5 linked regions of the Macaca fascicularis genome follow. The protein of the gene in region 2 interacts with the protein of the main gene of each other region in a pairwise test. Links are inferred from orthologs where the notes say so. Each region holds a gene or a part of one and is shown on either strand. Other genes may lie near its edges.

The links. The genes of interacting proteins can lie anywhere in the genome.
Region 1: the proteins of FATE1 (region 2) and INPP5K interact in binary tests that used the Homo sapiens proteins (3 or more experiments, as listed by UniProt). The link is inferred for Macaca fascicularis from reciprocal best matches to the Homo sapiens genes FATE1 and INPP5K.
Region 3: the proteins of FATE1 (region 2) and TRAF3IP3 interact in binary tests that used the Homo sapiens proteins (3 or more experiments, as listed by UniProt). The two-hybrid records come from large-scale screens. The link is inferred for Macaca fascicularis from reciprocal best matches to the Homo sapiens genes FATE1 and TRAF3IP3.
Region 4: the proteins of FATE1 (region 2) and KASH5 interact in binary tests that used the Homo sapiens proteins (3 or more experiments, as listed by UniProt). The two-hybrid records come from large-scale screens. The link is inferred for Macaca fascicularis from reciprocal best matches to the Homo sapiens genes FATE1 and KASH5.
Region 5: the proteins of FATE1 (region 2) and MARCHF5 interact in binary tests that used the Homo sapiens proteins (3 or more experiments, as listed by UniProt). The two-hybrid records come from large-scale screens. The link is inferred for Macaca fascicularis from reciprocal best matches to the Homo sapiens genes FATE1 and MARCHF5.

Annotation. Positions count from the first base shown.
Region 1 is NC_088390.1:1,617,815-1,621,331, forward strand, and holds part of INPP5K (inositol polyphosphate 5-phosphatase K), read right to left. Parts: intron 3,040-3,517; coding exon 2,930-3,039; intron 1-2,929. UniProt on the Homo sapiens protein: Inositol 5-phosphatase which acts on inositol 1,4,5-trisphosphate, inositol 1,3,4,5-tetrakisphosphate, phosphatidylinositol 4,5-bisphosphate and phosphatidylinositol 3,4,5-trisphosphate.
Region 2 is NC_088395.1:157,778,858-157,782,958, forward strand, and holds the start of FATE1 (fetal and adult testis-expressed transcript protein), read left to right. Parts: upstream 1-1,294; 5' UTR 1,295-2,264; coding exon 2,265-2,370; intron 2,371-3,412; coding exon 3,413-3,540; intron 3,541-4,101. UniProt on the Homo sapiens protein: Involved in the regulation of endoplasmic reticulum (ER)-mitochondria coupling. Negatively regulates the ER-mitochondria distance and Ca(2+) transfer from ER to mitochondria possibly implicating it in the regulation of apoptosis.
Region 3 is NC_088375.1:67,583,411-67,586,927, reverse strand, and holds part of TRAF3IP3 (TRAF3-interacting JNK-activating modulator), read right to left. Parts: intron 3,244-3,517; exon of another isoform or gene 3,113-3,243; intron 2,934-3,112; exon of another isoform or gene 2,912-2,933; coding exon of another isoform or gene 2,829-2,911; intron 1,988-2,828; coding exon 1,585-1,987; intron 1-1,584. UniProt on the Homo sapiens protein: Adapter protein that plays essential roles in both innate and adaptive immunity. Plays a crucial role in the regulation of thymocyte development.
Region 4 is NC_088393.1:57,356,560-57,360,076, reverse strand, and holds part of KASH5 (protein KASH5), read right to left. Parts: coding exon 3,464-3,517; intron 3,452-3,463; exon of another isoform or gene 3,381-3,451; coding exon of another isoform or gene 3,189-3,380; coding exon 3,132-3,188; intron 2,816-3,131; coding exon 2,756-2,815; intron 1,465-2,755; coding exon 1,400-1,464; intron 1,236-1,399; coding exon 1,148-1,235; intron 684-1,147; coding exon 561-683; intron 1-560. UniProt on the Homo sapiens protein: As a component of the LINC (LInker of Nucleoskeleton and Cytoskeleton) complex, involved in the connection between the nuclear lamina and the cytoskeleton.
Region 5 is NC_088383.1:101,128,789-101,131,589, reverse strand, and holds part of MARCHF5 (E3 ubiquitin-protein ligase MARCHF5), read right to left. Parts: intron 475-2,801; coding exon 291-474; intron 151-290; coding exon 1-150. UniProt on the Homo sapiens protein: Mitochondrial E3 ubiquitin-protein ligase that plays a crucial role in the control of mitochondrial morphology by acting as a positive regulator of mitochondrial fission and as an important regulator of immune response.

The DNA of each region.
Region 1 (3,517 bases), on a different chromosome or scaffold from region 2:
GGCCTCTCCTAGCGTTAGCTGTCCGCCTCCTTAACATTTGCTCCAACCTTCTGCACGCAGTTCTGGAAACCTTCTACTGACTAATTCCCAGACTTGGTAACATATGCCAGGTACTGTGCTACTCCCAGGGATGGTCCTAAATCAGATCGTCTCTGCTCTCTGGGCCATCACAGTACAGTAAGAAAGGTACACTGTTGCTTAAAAGGTACAGTGTTGCTTAAAAGCAACACTGAGAGCATGGCGTGCGCAAGGCTGGGAGCGGCACAGGGCAGGAAAGGAACTCTCAGTGAGATGGGGGAAGGCGTCCTAGGAAAAGTGATGTCTCAACTGGGTTTTCAAGGATAAAATAACAGTTTCATTAGATAGGAATGTCTCTGCCCCAGGTGGGCTCAGGCCCTGCTCACTGCAGGAACTCCCAGCTGCCTCTGGACCCTGGCCCCAGCCAGGAGTATTTCAGTTACCATGTCCCCTGTTCTTGCCCGGACATTCTTGCATTTCCTGGGCTCCAGCCAAAGGGAAGTACTGAAGGCTCATGAGTCGACAGACACAGATATGAGTTCCAATCCTCATGCAGTGATGAAGTCTATTGCTCCTTACTTATATATTCTTTGAGACTCAGTTGCCTTCTGTGTAAACAGTCAATAGTGACACTGTCTACCTAAAGAGGACATGGTAAGAACTGACACAGGCAAAGCCTGGGTGCACGCCTGTCTGCCAATCACGGTGAGCTGTTATTTGGAAATAGGTGTGTGCCTCCTCCTTAGCAGGAGTCTGCCTTCCTCATCGTGCCATCCTTTTTGCTGTTGCTGGCAAGGATGACCATGAATCCTGACGCACAATGGGCTTGACGAAAGCACTGTGGGCTATAGATTCAGAGATCAGTCTGAGCTCCAGCTCTGCCACTCACTGGGTGAGCTCCCTGGGGAAGTCCTTGAACTTCTCCAAAGCTCACTACCCTTTTAGACCCTGTCAACTCCAGCCCAGACCCAGCTTTTTCAACAAACTTCAGTCTCCTGGAGACCTCTCTGGCACAGGGCTGGGAGAAGGGGCCACCTGGCCGTAGGGCCTGCCAGCACCTCTCTTCCTGCTGGCAAGTGTTTAAAGAGGAATTTTTTTTTTTTTTTTGAGACAGGGTTGCCCAGCTGGAGTGCAGTGGGTAAATCTCAGCTCACTGCAGCCTTTAACTCCTGGGCTCAAGTGATCCTCCTGCCTCAGGTTTCCTGAGTAGTTGGGACTACAGGCATATCCCACTCAGCTGATTTTTAAATTTTTGTAGAGATAGGGTCTAACCATGTTGCCCAGGTGGGTCTTGAACTCCTGGCTTCAAGCAACCTCTCCCCACCCAAGGCCCCAGCCTGTACTTACAGCTCCCACCATGACTCTCGTTTCTAATGGATGGCTGCAGAGACTGGCAGTCTCCCTGCAGCTGTCGGTCTGGGCCGGCCAGCCTGTCGCAGCCTGGCCTCTTACCTCCTTTCCTGCCTGCTCTGTTGCCCAGGGTGGGTCCCGTCCCCAGCGTCTGCTGCCTCCTCTTGTCTGGACGGCCCTGCTCACAACCCTACCCTATCTTGCTCCACACTGCTCAGTCAGCTCGCTCTTTCCCCCTTTCCTTGGCAAGGATATTTTGGCTTTGCTGTACCACTTCCAGAACCAAGCTTGAGTTCTACCTCTTGTCCTGCACTGGCTAAATCCCAAAGGCCTGGGCTGCCCTGCTGGCACCTCCCGCCTCCCTCACAGACACACTCCCGCTCGGAGAATGAACGAGCCGCTCCCGCTGGGACAAAGACCCTCATGACATGTAAGACCCTCATGACATGTAAGGGGCTCTTCCTTTCTTCAAAGAGATGAGGGTCCTTGCCCCAAACTGGGTCAGGGACATGTTGCCAGAAGTTCTTTCTCAGGTTTTGATGGTTACTTGGCCCCTTCTCAGCTTCTTAGAAAGGTTTTTAGTAAATCTATGATGGGAAGACATGAATCTATTTATTTTATAATTATTTTTTTGAGACAGAGTCTTGCCTGTCACCCAGACTGGAGTGCAGTGGTGAGATCTCGGCTCACTGCAACCTCCGCCTCCCGGGTTCAAGCGATTCTCCTGCCTCAGCCTCTTGAGTAGCTGGGATTACAGGCGCACGCTACCATATCCGGCTAATTTTTGAAGTTTTAGTAGAGATGGGGTTTCACCATGTTGGTCAGGCTGGTCTGGAACTCCTGACCTTAAGTGATCCACCTGCCTTGGCCTCCCAAAGTGCTGGGATTACAGACGTGAGCTACCACGCCCAGCCGGCATGAATCTAAAAGTCACAATAGCAGTTCTCTCCCATGGTTACTCGGTGCCAGCCTTCTTCAATCCTCAGCCTCATGAGGTGTCTGCTGTGTCATCCACACTTTATAGATGACAAAACGAGGCCTAACACTTTGTCTAAAGTCAGACAGAGCTGTGCTTTTAACCACCAGACTCATGATCTCACTGATCCTGATGAAATTCTCTACCCACTACTTCACCTTCTCACACAGAACCTGACCCACCCACGGGCTGGGGCAGGGGTCCTTAATACCAGTAACTGGTTGGCCCAAGCTTTCTGCCCTGTTTGGGGACCAGAAGGTCTGGGGTTTCCAGAAGCTGACGTGCAGTCCCTCCTAGGTCAGGAGGCGGCTGCTCCACCCTCTCCTCTAGTTCTACCTGTAACACCCCCACCCCCCACACACCTCTCCTGCCTTTGCCGGCACTGGCGTTCCCTCCCACTCTCGCTGAGATCTGGGACGGCTCCCCCAGTCAGTGCCTCATGAAGTGGACAGGAGGCGCCACTCTGGAGAGGAGATGGCTACACGGCTTCCCGGCCCCTAACACTTCTATTCTGAGACAGTGCCCATGCCAGCAGGGCCAATGTAACCTGACTTCTTAGACCTTCTGGCCCCGCTTCCTCCTCACCTGGTGTCATAGTCGTTGGAGTTCCTATCAAACTTGTAGGTGGGTGGGAAGAGCAGGCGGCCCTCCTGGAACTCCCGGAGCAGTGGATCATGTTTCTTGGCAATGCTGAGCTGCAGACAAAGTCACAGTCCCCGTCTCCCTCTAGACTCGACCCAATGGCCCAGTACCACACTCCATTCAAGGGATCAGCACATGCCGTCACAAATGGGCAAGAGTCAAGCAATGCCACTCCACTGCCCCACTGCCCCAGTGACTACTCACAGCCCACCCCCACCAGAGAGCAGGTGAATCCTTTCAGAAACACTACCAAGGCCTAGGGGAGGCAGCTGTCTGCCGTTTCCCAGTCCTTGGACTGCAGGGACCCGACTTGGAATTCCATCTCTAGTGGAGGTCACTAGCAGACATGTGTCAGAGGGGAAGCTGGGGGAGCCAGGGTCCTCCAAAGGGTCATCTCACCCTCCGGGAGGGAAACGAGGCTGGGGATGGGAAAGACAGACGACAGGGATACGATGGGCTGATGCGTGGTGGCGCCTGGTGCAAAACCCTTCTGGTTCCCTATTCTTCTTCTTTTTTAAATAATTCATTTCA
Region 2 (4,101 bases):
TCTTTGCTTGGCTTTAGGTGGTGGATTCTTATGCCACCAGGGGGCAGTGCCTCCACATGCACCTGGACCCTGTGCTCCTGTGCCCAAGAAGCCCCACCAGGGTCAGTTGATAACTAGACAGAAATCTGGCCTCCATAGCCTGAGGCCCTGTGGCAAGCCAGTGCCTACACTACTGTAGCTTTGCTGACTTCTGAGTGCTCCTCACAATCCAGCCACCCTGTAGGGAGGCTTGTCCATGGTGGAGACTGACACCAAAAGAAGGGAGAAACTTGCTCGAGGTAAAATCTTGAGGTCATAGTGAGATAAGATTGTCAGATAGAATACAGGATATGCAGCTAAATTTCAATGTTAGATCAACCCATGAATCCTTTTTTTAGTGTAAATATGTCCCAAAGGTTAGTGTACAAGAGAGAATACTTACACTACAAATGTAGTATAAGTACAGATGTGTTGTTTATCTGAAATTTAAATGTACTTCGTATCTGTATTTTCATTTGCTCAATCTGGCAACCTTGGCTGGGCTTCCCAGGCTCCTGAATCCCACTAAGCTGAGCACACTCAGTAGTTTCTCTGCTCCCAAGGTGGCCCTCCAGAAAGCTCAAATTTCATCGCAGCTGCTCCACTAGATCTGGGAAGGGCTTCTTTGGGGCCCCCAGGAATGCAGGCAGGGCCTATATCAGCTCTGCTTCCCAAGAGCTCGGCCCCAGCGCTGGACAGGTGAGGTGGGGGCAGGGGACAGGCAGCCTCAGACCATGCTGCCCTATCTCAGCTAGTTCTGACCCCTTCCTTTGCACTCCCTCTCCTTCCTTCCTTCCTTCCTTCCTTCCTTCCTTCCTTCCTTCCTTCCTTCCTTCCTTCCTTCCTTCCTCTTTTCCTCCTTCCTTCTTTCCTTCCTTCCTTCCTCCCTTCCTCTTTTCCTTCCTTCCTTCCTTCCTTCCTTCCTTCCTTCCTTCCTTCCTTCCTTCCTTCCTCCCTTCCTCTTTTCCTCCTTCCTTCCTCCTCTTTATCCCACCTGACCCAAGGGCTCTGGGGGAAGAAGAGGCTATTTCTAAAAGGAACGTTTTATAAACCTGTCCTGATTCCTTTCACAAATAGCCTCCTATTCCCCCAGGGGCTCTGGGGTTGTTTCCTAGAATGAAGGGTTCACCACAGGTCGTGTAGCAATCAGTGTTTTCCAGAGAAACATAACTGATAGGATGTATATATGTATGTATGTATATATGTATATATCTGCATATGCACAAGTATATATACATTTATTTTAATAAATTGACTTATGCAATTGTGGGGCTGACAAGTCTGAAATGTGCAGGGCAGCCTGGCAGGCTGGCAACTCAAAGAAGAGTTGACACTGCAGTCCTGGGGTAGAATTACCTCTACTTTGGGAAACCTCAGTCTTTGCTCTTCAGGCCTCTCAGTTGATTGTGTGAGACCAACCCACATCATCGAGGATGTGTCTCTACTTTACTTCAAGTCCACTGGTTGTAGATGCCAACCACAGCTACAAAATGCCTCCACAGCAACACCTAGACTAGTGTTTGAAGGAGTCACTGGGGACTAGAACCTGGCCAGGTGACACATAAACCTGACCATCACAGTGGTCTAATCAGTAGGGAAACTGAGGGAGAATTGGGACTTAGAAGGTGCAAGGCCTGAGGCCCCTGGGAGTTCTAGTGGCTGCAGTCAGGTCCCACCTCTCTTACCCTTCTCTCCCTTTGTTCTCATGGCTCCTGCCTAGTCTGACCTACTTCAGAAAAAGGCTACCTCCCATGTCTGGGGACTCTGGATGGGGGAGGTAGGATATGCTCTCCAGAGAATCTCTTCTGAAGGTGTGGTATGGCCTGGATTGCTAGGACCTAACTCTGCTGTAGCCACTGCCTGGCTCTTGGACCCTGTGCCAATCCCTGTTTCTTCATAGAAATGATGGAGGGTAGACCCTACCCTTCCCCCCATGGGCTAAATATGGAGATTCATGAGCCAGAGCAGTTCTCACAGTCAAAGGCATGGAATTGTATCTCTTCTCCTAAGTTGCTTACAGAGTAGCAAGGAGAAGGCCACGGACCTAGCCAACAAGATACAATAGAAACAGAAAGTGCTGAGTCCAAGGCCTCAGCCTAGAGAGGGAGTCTTGCTCCACCCCCAGGTCTGACTATATCTTCCTTGAGCTCCTGTTCCAGGAAGAGGTGATTTTCTGAGTGTGACTCCTCTGTTCCTGGCACCCTGTACATCCTTAGCCATAGCTTACAAGTGAACAGCTGGTTGTGATGGCAGGAGGCCCTCCCAACACCAAGGCAGAGATGGAAATGTCCCTGACAGAAGAATTGAATCATGGACGCCAAGGGCAAAACCAAGAGCACCTGGTGATAGCGGGTGAGGATCCCCTAAAATACCCCTAGGCTACAGCCAACTGTGTAGATACATGTCTGTACCTGTGCATGTGTGTGTTGGGAAAGGTGCATGTGTGCATGGAAGTGTTTGCACATCTGTGTGTTGGGCGGGCTTTGAGGATTTGTGGGTTGATGGTAAGGGATCTAGGAGAAAAGGGATAGATGATGTGAGCATTTTGCCCTGGGAGGGAGGAGGATGGGAACAACATGTGTGGTCCCTCTGTCTTCCCCTTGTCCAAGCCACCACAGTGTCTGTTGCAAAATACTCAGAGGGCTCAAATTATGAGACCAGAGATCAATTCTCTCTCCCAACCCTCGAATTCATTTTCCTGCCATTTGGAGGAAAATCCAGACTCCATGATCTATAAGATTGTATCAGCCTCCTCAAAACATTTCATACTATGATATAGACAGAAAATACCATTTCTATAGCACACAAAGGGATCCAGATCACATTGCATTTATGTTTGTTCTTACAATGCTCCAAGCCTGCTTCTTCCCCAAAGACCTTGCATTTGCTGTTTCCTCTGTCTGGAATGCTCTTTCCCTCAATTTCCCAGGGCTGGGTCCTTTATTTTTTTCAGGTCCCTGCCTCAATTGTTGTCTCCTACTTTTCTAGAAGGAGCCCTTTCCTTCCACTATGTTACCCTGTTTTGATCATTTATGGAGCCTGCATCTCTCTGTCTGCATTTGCAAGGATAGACCTTCTGTTTTACACCTGTCATTCACTCTTATACACAAAACAGATGGTCAGTTCCTTGATAGCTGGAATCTTGTTCTTGGTCATTGCTCTCTAGATTACTGGAGAGTAACCTAGTCTCGAGCTGAGCCCTCAGGATTCTTGTTTAACTTTTGAACAGATGAACAAACTGAGACCTGGGATCAGCTGGTGGACAGTGGTTAATGGGTGCTGAGTGATTCCCAAGAAAGCTGGGGACTCTGTCTTCTTTTTGGTGTGTTTTGTGCCCAAGAAGCCCTGGTACAACTTCTATGGGTGCTCCTGGGGTCTCTGTTCTTCTCTCTAGAAATGATGGAGCATGGATCTCGGTCCCTGGGTGCCTCCCAGAAGAGGCAGAAGTTGGAACAAAAAGCTGCTGGCTCTGCTTCAGCGAAACGAGTTTGGAATATGACTGCCACCCGATCCAAGAAAATGGTACTGCATGGGGTCCTCAGCACATGTTGGCCAGGTTGGGGTTGGGAGTACTGGTTGTAGGGGCTGTAGCCTGACCAGGTCAGGCAGGGCTAGACATTGACTTGTGAGGAGGAGGAAGCTCCTGTATTCCAAGCTGGCAAATGAGGACAGAAAGGTCAGGGTCATCCTTTCCTATGCTTGGGATGCAACCTTGGGAGTTCAGAATGCCTGAAACAAATATTGCATGGGGAGTACATAAATATTTCACTCTGTAAATCCATTGTGTGAAATAACGCTTCCTGTATTTAAAATTGTGTGTGTGGTGCGTGTGTGTGTATACACACAATAACTCAGGTGAGGCTCCTACGCTTTCTGGCTGTTAAGAAATCCAGTCAAGTCGTCTGGCATGGTGGCTCATGCCTGTAATCTGAGCACTCTGGCAGGAAGAGGTGGACGGATCACTTGAGGCCAGGAGTTGGAGAACAGTCTGGCCAGCATGGTGAAACCTTGTCTCTACTAAAAATACAAAAATTAGCTGGGCATGGTGGCACATGCCTGTAATCACAGCTACTCAGGAGGCTG
Region 3 (3,517 bases), on a different chromosome or scaffold from region 2:
CTCAGGCCAGGCATATGTGGAGCTGTACTTTTCTCCAGTTTTTCTCTCTAGAATCTCTAGTTGTGGTTGTTGTTTTTTCCCCCTCTCTCTCTCTACCTTGTTTGGTTTTGGCCACTTAGATAGCCAGCATGGTGATATGGAAAGAGAACTGGTCTGAGTGGCCACTAAGGGGATCTGGGTTCAGATCCCATCTTTTCTAGGTCTCAGTCTTCTGTCTGTGTAGTGAGGAGTTTGGAATAGATAATCTATAAGATTCCTTCCATATTCGAAGGAAAACTTCCTTTCTCTTAGTAACAGCTAGAAAATCATTGAGGTTTTGTGTGAAGACTAGGTAAAGTGGGGAGTTGTGGGGAGGTTTTTTGCTTTAGTAAACAGTTTGTTTTCTTTTGCAACTGGGCTCTGGGATCATTGCTCTGAACAGTATCTCCTATTGAGCATAACAGATCCACTAGTTAAGAAGCCCTAATGGAGTACCCACTCTGGGTAGGACACAATGCCAAGCATTTCCACGGAACATAGTGGACACATCCCTGCTGTCAACATGCTCACAACCTCAGTAGGAAGACACAGATGGTTTGCTGGCCAACGTCATCTCAGCATACCCTGGTTTTTGCCAACACTGTTCCTTTCCAGGCCAGACTAATGGGCCCTCTAAGGGTTACACAATCTTGGAAGATTTTAACCTCACAAGGCCCGTAGACAGCAGCGGTGGCCTGGAGAAGCCAGGGAAGGCTTCCTGGACCAGATGAGGCTGTAGCCGAGTGATTTAATAGAATTGGAATAACACCAGAGAAAGAGAGAAGAGTGGGCACAACAGCCTTGCAGAAGAAGAGAGGACAGATATGTCTGTGTGTGTGTCAAAAGGATTGGCCTGTGTACTTGGCATATAATAAACTTTCAGTAAATATTTGGTGACTGATGGATGAATGAATGCTATAAGATAGCTGTAGAAGATATGTGTATATTGCCTAAGTTTGAACTGATATAGGTGTTAGCTTTGGAATTATTTTTATTTGTTTTATTTTAAGTTTTTTAGAGATAGGGTCTCCCTTTGTTGCCCAGGCTGGAGTACAATGGTGTGATCATAGCTTATTGCCGCTTTAAACTCCTGTGTTCAAGTAATCCTCCCATCTTTGCCTCCTGATTAGTTAGGACTACAGGTGTGCACCACCATGCCTGGCTAGTTTGTAAAGTTTTTGATAGAGACAGGGACTTGTCTCTATCAAAAAACTGGTCTCGAACTCCTGGCCTCAAGTGATCCTCCTGTCTTGGCCTTCCAAAGTGCTGGGATTACAGGTATGAGCCAACATGCCCAGCCTGGAATTGTTTTTAAAAATTATTTTTCTCTCTCTTACAAGTCAAGTGCAGAACAAAAAGAGCTAAACAAACAAAAACACAACAGCAAAAATCTCTGAATAAGTAGCTGTTGGCAACTTTACTATAAGAAGCTCTTAGCAACTTTACTATATGACTGAGGAAGAAGGACTTAATTTAGATCACTTTTAGCGACCTTGAGCCCACCCACCCTCCTTGTCCAGAGAGGGTCCCGGAGCACAGAGCAGTATGTCCCTTGACATGGCCCACCTGCTCTCTGGGAGAAGAGATCCTGCTGGCACAAGACAAAGGTTCCTTGAGGACAGTCACCTGGCCTGGCCGCCTGGAGGGCCCTTGCTCCCTGGCCTGGGGACGGTGCGCCTTGCCTTTCTCCTCTAGCTCCAGGTTCCTCCTCCTGAAGAACTGCTGCAGTCGAGCTCTCTGGAGCTGCTCTCTCTGCTGGATCCTCAGCGTCTTCCCCACCTGGCGGCAAGTGGTCACATTGGGACGGCAGCGGCGGCTTTCACGGGTCTCTTGCCTGCGCTCACACTTGGCCTCATAGCTCTCAGCCCACCGGGCCAAGCCAGGGGAGGGCCTGGGGTCTGGGCTGATCATGATGACCTCCAAGCACCTGTTGCGCTTGGCTTCCTGTTCCTGGAATAGATGCCTGGATCTGCCAAATGCCAAGAGGGAGGAGAAGGGGAGGGGTCAGAAGATGGGCAGAAAAATGACTATCTCCCTAGACCAGGGGGCAGAAATAGCACAGAGTTCCATCCATGTGGGTTGAAAACTGAGGACATGGTGGTATCAAACTGGGAGTCAGGACTCTTGGGCTCAGTCTCTAATGAATTAATACAACCTTGTAACAGCGATTTCCTGCTCTTCTCTAGCTGATGTTTCCCCTTTGTAAAGTAAAACGGTCTCTATGGCTGCCACTTACTCCTTGACTGAACATCTTACCATGCCTCTAAGTCAGGGGAACATGATAAATAATTGATTAAAATAATAATGAGCTTATAGCCTCTTGGATGGCAGGTGTGTGTTCATTTTCCAGACTTCTAGAGAAACAGCCTAGTGAGCCCCTCTGCCCTCTTATCCCCCAGCTGAAAAAGAAAGTCAGTATCTTTACTGCTGTCTTGGTCCAAGCTGTTACTAACATAGTTGAGTGACACTTCTCAAGATCTGGAGGGCTAACCACACCCCACTCAGGTGGTGACCAGTCCTGTGACCAGCACCCGCTGCTCTCTTCTTGACTTTTAGCAACTAACTTATGAGTCTGGACCTGGCATGGTTTAGGAGGAAACCCTACCCTAATTCCTCCAACCTGCTGTGCTGACAATGGTCCATGGGCCCCCCACTCCAAGCTCAGGACTCGGCCGTGTCTCTCAGGTGCAGATCAAGTTCAATCAGTATTGACTGAGCATCTGCCACATGCCTAGTGCTGGCCTAAACCCATTTCAGAGCATCTGGCTCCAATACTCTTGGAGATGAGGGTTCCATTTCTTTAGGATCACCTTCTTGTCAGGGCTAATTCTGGTGCCAAGTCTGCTTTCCTTTGCCAAGACACAGATTGTGCCATCCAAACCCACAAGCACATGAATTAGACCTTAATAAGGCTGCTGCAAACAGAAAAGAAACAAAACAAAAATAGTAATCAGAAGTTTCCAGGGAGCCAGGCTTGGTGTAGGGGCCACAGGATGTCCCTCTGCATGGCTTTACCTGGTATTCACATAGCACTCAGACCCAAATCCCCTTTTCCTTCTCTGTCCCTTTCTCTTTCCTACTCTTCCCCACCTACCTTCTGCAGTTTATCCTACTAGAACCCTCTGGTCACTTTGCTGAGTTGGGCTGGACTTGGATTAGCTGGATCCTGAGCGTTGGAAATTCTGTGTCCTGCCTCCTCTGATCACTGGAGTCAGACCAGGGACTGATGAAGGAAGAGGGACTCCCCCTCACAGCTGCTGCTGCTTCTCTTCCTCCCACGACCTCATTACCCACCACCCTGGGAGGAGGGTATCTCAGCTTCACCAACCAGCAGGCGTTTGCTAGCTGTAACCCCTCGGGGTTTATTTATAGGCCAAACAGACTCAACAGGTAGCAGAGTCTCTGCCCCTATACTGGGACTTCGCTATCCTGGCTCAGTCTGGAATTCTCTGCAGGATTCTTGTTTTCTCTCTGATCCTACCACTCATTCCCCAGGGTC
Region 4 (3,517 bases), on a different chromosome or scaffold from region 2:
GGAGGCTGAGGCAGGAGAATGGCCGGAACCCGGGAGGCGGAGCTTGCAGTGAGCTGAGATCCGGCCACTGCACTCCAGCCTGGGCGACAGAGCGAGACTCCGCCTCAAAAAAAAGAAAAAGAAAAAAAAAAAAAAGATGTCATAGTGAGCTTGCTGGTTTTTCTTAAAGGTACTTATATTTGAAACATAAATGCTTAATATATCCTTAAAATGTTAGCATAAACAACTTGCTTATTCCCTTCCTACGGTAGTACAATTTTAAATCACGCAATTCCTGAGCGTGTTTTCTAAAACAACAAAACGACACGAAAAGCCACAGTGCAATTTGTGTGTTTGCTTTGTTCACCTTTGTCTCCAACGCTGGCAGGTCAGTCCCTGGGGCAGGGGTGGTGTCTGGTCTGGCTTGTGGCTGGGTGTCCAGCACACAGTGTGCTCTCAATTAACATTTTCTCATCAAATGGGGAACAAGCAAAGGTGTGAGTGAATGGCTGGCCAGGGCGGCACCTGGCGCTCCGGGCCCCTTTCCAGCTCCTGGACTTCAGAGCTTTTCCTGTGCTCACCTGTCCCCCAGCTGGGGCTTCAGACGGAAACTCAGCATCCTCACTGGTATCATGGATGACTTCCTCCCACTGCCACACCCCACACAGAGGGTTGGAGAGACCAGCAATTGCCACTTCCTGTTTCTGGGACAGAAGGTGTTTCCGAGGTCAGGGAGAGCCATGTTAAGGTAGAAGACAAGGTCAGAGACAGAAACGGGTTTAGGTGTGTGGCTGAAAATAGGATGAGAGGTAGAAAAGAGCTGGTGTGGGGCTGGTGTGGGGAGTGGGCAGAAGCAGGAACAGGGGAGGGTTTGCTGCCAGGACCGAGGTCTGGGTTCGAGATGAAGTTAAGGAGTGAGATGGTCATGGAGGGAGACGAGATAGGGGTGAGTCACAGCTGGATCGGACTGGGGTCTGGCATAGGCCTGGGGCTGGCAGTGGGTTTGGGGTTAGGATCCGAGATAGAGTTAGAGAAAAGCTAAGGTTGTGATGGGAGCCTCTGGCAGCAATGTGGGTTAGGGCTAGGCTGGTGTGAGGATCAGAGTGGGGAGATGTTTGGAGATCCTGCCTTGGTGGCCTGCAGCTTATTCCAGGGGTGTTAGGCCCACCTGTCGAATGGCCTCGATCTCCAAGCCCAGCGATGGGGGCAGCAGCCGGGTCCAGCCCACTCTTCTCAGCTGGGCCCCTTCAGGTAGCCTGGCCACACAGGGAGGAGGGAGGAAGGCGGCCTTTGTGCCTGGGGGCCACTCAGTCGGCTCATGCTGGCCTCCCTTCCCTGCCCACCTTGGGGCTGGAGACCAGGGTGTCTCTGCTCTTAGGCTCCCCTCCTGCCTCCTCCTACCCTATGAAGTTCCACTCACTCATCGGGCCCCTCATAGGTCTGACTCAGCTGCTCCTCCAGGCGTGAAATCTCCAGCCTCAGTTCCTGCAAAGGAGGAAGTGGGGGGCACATCTGGCTCTCCATTTTTCCCATCCCTGGGCTCCTCTTCCAGGGTTCTTTCCACTTTCCTGACTACTTTGGCCTCCCCAGACACACACTGCCTGGGGACAAAGGGCAGAAAGCCATGACAGAATGTTAGGAAGCCAAAGAGAGACAGAGAGCAACAGGAATCCAGAAGCTAAAGCACAGGCCAAGAGGCCGGGAGCTGTGGCTCATGCCGGTAATCCCAGCACTTCAGGAGGGCAGATCACGAGGTCAGGAGATCGAGACCATCCTGGCTGACAGGGTGAAACCCCGTCTCTACTAAAAATACAAAAAATTAGCCAGGCATGGTGGCACGCACTTGTAGTTCCAGCTACTTGGGAGGCTGAGGCAGAAGAATCGCTTGAACCCAGGAGGAGGAGCTTGCAGTGAGCCAAGATTGTGCCACTGCACTCCAGCCTGGGCGACACAACCAGACTCCGTCTCAAAAAAGAAAAACAAAACAAAACAAAACAAAACAAAAAGCACAGCCAAGAAAATTAAGAGAAGGAAGGCAGAGGCAGTGATGCATGAAAAAATGAAAGACATAAATGGAAACAGACTCACAGACAGGCAAGGGAAACACCAGGGCTAAGAGACTGGTAAAGACCAGAGCCAAACAGAGAAGACTTGCCTAGGGAGACAGACAGCCTAGACCTAGAGGCAGAGACAGGAACCCACACGAGCCTGGCAGAGACACATAAAGATGAGGAGGGGAGGCTGGGCGCGGTGGCTCACGCCTGTAATCCCAGCACTTTGGGAGGCCGAGGTGGGCGGATCATGAGGCCAAGAGATCGAGACCATCCTGGCCAACATGGTGAAACCCCGTCTCTACTAAAAATACAAAAATCAGCTGGGCATGATGGCGTGCGCCTGTAGTCCCAGCTATCTGGGAGGCTGAGACAGGAGAATCGCTTGAACCTGGGAGGCAGAGGTTGCAGTGAGCCGAGATTGCGTCACTGCACTCCAGCCTGGTGACAGAGCGAGACTCTGTCTCAAAAAAAAAAAAAAAAAAAAAAGATAAGGAGGGGTATGTGAGAAGACACCCACAGAGAATGAAAGTGAATGGAAGGAACAGAAAAAAAGTGAAAAGGCAGATAGAGAAACAGAGGGTGAGACACACAGTAAGTCATACAGTCATACATTATGGATAGAAGAAGCAAGATGTGGCCACCGACAGAGAAAGAGCGATGAGGAGGAGAGGCAGCAAGTCCCAGAGATGGCAAAAGAGAAGTGGCCAGGGCCGCTGAGTTACCTGCGTCGTCACTCTGTATTCTTGCAAGGTCTGGGCCAGGCTCTCCACATGGCGAGTGCGCTGGGAAAGCCGAAAGCCAAATGAGACTGGGACCAGTTCCCCAAAGACATAGTGGGGGGTGGTGGTGGGGGGACTGGCTGGGGGGGTTAAGGGACAAGGGTGAGCTTGAGAGAAGAGCTGGGGCCCAAGGGAGAGCACCGGGCAGAAGGGCTTCTAGATCCCTGAGGGGTCACATTGGGACCTGGGGAATCCCTCCAATCTCTCCGCCTGCACATCCAAGGACCAGACCCAAGTAGGACTTCCCTTTCTAGACCAGGGGCAGGAAGTGGCTGGCGCACACGGAAGGCAAATCTCTTTCCCTCCCCGGGCTCCTCACCTCAGAGAGGATGGTGTCTCGTTGGCAAATGAGGTGTTCACACTCAAAGAGCTGCCGCTGCCAAGAAAGGAGCCGGTCCATCCATCCAACCTCCCAGGACTCCCCTCGGTCCTGCCCTCCGTCTGGCCTGCCCTGCTCTCCCGCACCCCGCCGATTCAACCTCCTGAGATGTTCCGGGACTTCAGGGATTTTAGGGATGCCTGGGTGGTCCTGGGAGTCTGACAGTTTGATGGAAGACCCTGCTCTCATCAGGCTGCAGTCACTAAAACCGGAAATGGGAAAAATGGCCCCAGGGTGGTGGAAAGTTGTCAGGCACTAGGAAGGAGTGGCACCTTCAAAGTGTCCTTCTCCATGGCCAGTTCCTGACTTCTCTTCTTCACTCCATC
Region 5 (2,801 bases), on a different chromosome or scaffold from region 2:
AATTAGAGTTAACACTACTGAACATCAATTTACCAACTATTGTCGCAATAGTAGGAAAGACAAGGGCTCCACACAAGATTCGAGTAGCAGAGACATGATCTGCTAAAGGATTAGCCTCTGCTGGAATTCGAGGAACAGGACAACCAATCCCTAGAGAAAAAAATGTAGTGCATTAGTGCTAATAAATCAGAAGAGTTAGAATATCTTCAAACATGGCTAAAAAAGCATGTTATGGTTCTTCTATAAGATCAATTTGGTATGCACTTTACAACCACAGTTCAGGGCCTTACCTGGAAATATACTATTTAAAATTTGAAGTTTATTCGAGTATTTGCGCCACAGTCTAAGCACATAGTCCTCCCAGCGAATCATCTTGCCTAATATCAGCATGACAGGAATAGTAGGAAGTCCAATTAAAAGGAATAAAGGATCAGCTCTCTCCATAACATCCAGACCTTCTTTATGACCTACAACCTGTGAAACAGATAGCATATGTTAGAATTACTTCTTTTTCAAATGAGGGGTTGCATGTTAAGCTCTATTTTTTTTTAATAGAAAATGTAAGCATTTCAAAAGAATACACAGAAATAAAAAGTTTAAAAAATAAGCTGGAAAGCTATCAGTCCTGATTTATTTATAAGAAATGTCTCATTCAAGGGAAAAACGAAGTTCTCAAGCCATTTCATACCACACAGGAATAAAAAAGCTTTTAAAATGGCTGACCCAGACTGATTACATTACAATAGAGGGGTGGGGACCCCTGATTGTTGCTTCTATTCCTTTATTTGATTTGGTTAGACTGGGCTATGGAACTGGGATATAATTCTAAGTTCTATTTGTCTTCCAGCAAAACAATTGTTTTCCTGATCTTCCTTCTAGGAGATTAAGCATAGCCAGCCAAGAGGTAGGACTGGCCTTCAAGAGATGGCCTGAAAGCTCATTTCTCTTTGGCTCTTTCTCCTTACTTAGTGGTGTGTAAGATAGGGTGTGATGTCTCTGGCTGGCTAAGTGTTTACCCTACAGACCTAATCCTCCTTAAGTGCACTTTCAAGGTCTAGAATTGAGGGACTGTAGTAGGAGTTCCAGTTTTGGTTACAGATCCCAGGCATTTTTCCCAATCCAGGAACTCTAGGGTACCCTATCTATGGGGGTAATGAAGCTAATATAATCTTTTCCTTACTCTATCCTAGTCTTGGGGCTATTTCTAAATTGGTGTAGATCCCAGAAGGCAAGAAATACAAAATTGGCATTTGTGAATTTCTACCTTTTCCCTCTCTCCAAAATCCTTTTCATTTCCACATCAATCTTGGCCTTAAATTTACCTCTTTTTGTTGCTGTTGTTTCTGAAACAGAGTCTTGCTCTGTTGCCCAGGCTGGAGTGCAGTGGTGTGATCTTGGCTCACTGCAACCTCCAGCTCCTGGATTCAAGCGATTCTTCTGCCTTAGCCTCCCGAGTAGCTGGGATTGCAAGGGCATGCCACCATGCCCGGCTAATTTTTGTATTTTTAGTAGAGATGAGGTTTTACCATCTTGGCCAGGTTGGTCTCGAACTCCTGACCTCAGGTGATATGCCCGCCTTGGCCTCCCAAAGTGCTGGGATTACAGGCGTGAGCCACCACGCCTGGCCAAAAATGTTTTATAAAAGTGTGTAGAGAGGACCAAATTTGAGCTATGGATATAGTCCAGATTTCTACTTGGTTAATTTATCTAACTAAGATGTAATATTAAAGGGCAGGAAGCTAGCCTCTTCCTAATGGTCAATAATGTCATCGAATTTGATATTCTTCTGTGTCTCCAGGTAGAACTTAACACCTTCCTATCTTGCATGTGGAAGGTGATCCTTTTGAGTTGCCCTAAAATGAAATGGTCTGGTGTATGATATTTCATAAGCCCCAATTCCATAATGGTAGCCCAGATTGTTTTACCTATAATGATTTCCTAGGAAATTATCTATCTATCTATCTATGACGGAGTTTTGGTCTTGGCACAATCTTGGCTCACTGCAACCTCCACCTCCCAAGTTCAAGAGATTCTTCTGCCTCAACTTCCCGAATAAATAGGATTACAGGCGCGTGCCACCACACCTAGCTAATTTTTCGTATTTTTAGTAAAAACGGGGTTTCACCACGTTAGCCAGGTTGGTCTTGAATTCCTGACCTCAGGTGATCTGCCTGCCTTGGCCCCTCGAAGTGCTGGGATTATAGGCCTGAACCACTGTGCCCAGCCAGGAAATTCCTTTAAAGAAAAAAAAAAGACGGTCTTGCTATGTTTCCCAGGTTGGCTTTGTACTCCCAGGCTCAAGCAATCTTCCCACCTCACCCTCCTGAGTAGCTGGAACTACACATGGGTACCACCACATCCGGCTAGGAAATTCTATTTTTATATCATTAAAAATTTCAATATAATGATCACTCTAAAGTTATAATTAGGTATGATTAAATATTCTCAAAGTGTTAGCAAATAAATTCAGAATATTTGAAAAAAATCCTTTGTTGGGTTACATATCCTTTTTTTGGGTTTAGAAATATAAAGGAGAGTGAATATTCAGGTATAGACTAGAGCAAGAGGAAGTTTGTTCCTCATGGGTAGCAGCAAAAACCTTATAAGGTATTTAAGAATAAGGAAACAAAAAGGAAGTGGGGTTGGGCACTGTGACTCACAGTTGTAATCCTAGCACTTTGGGAGGCTGAGGCAGGCGGATCACCTGAGGTCAGGAGTTCGAGGCCAGCCTGGCCAACATGGTGAAACCCCGTTTCTATTAAAAATACAAGCCAGACATGGTGGTGGGCGCCTGTAATCCC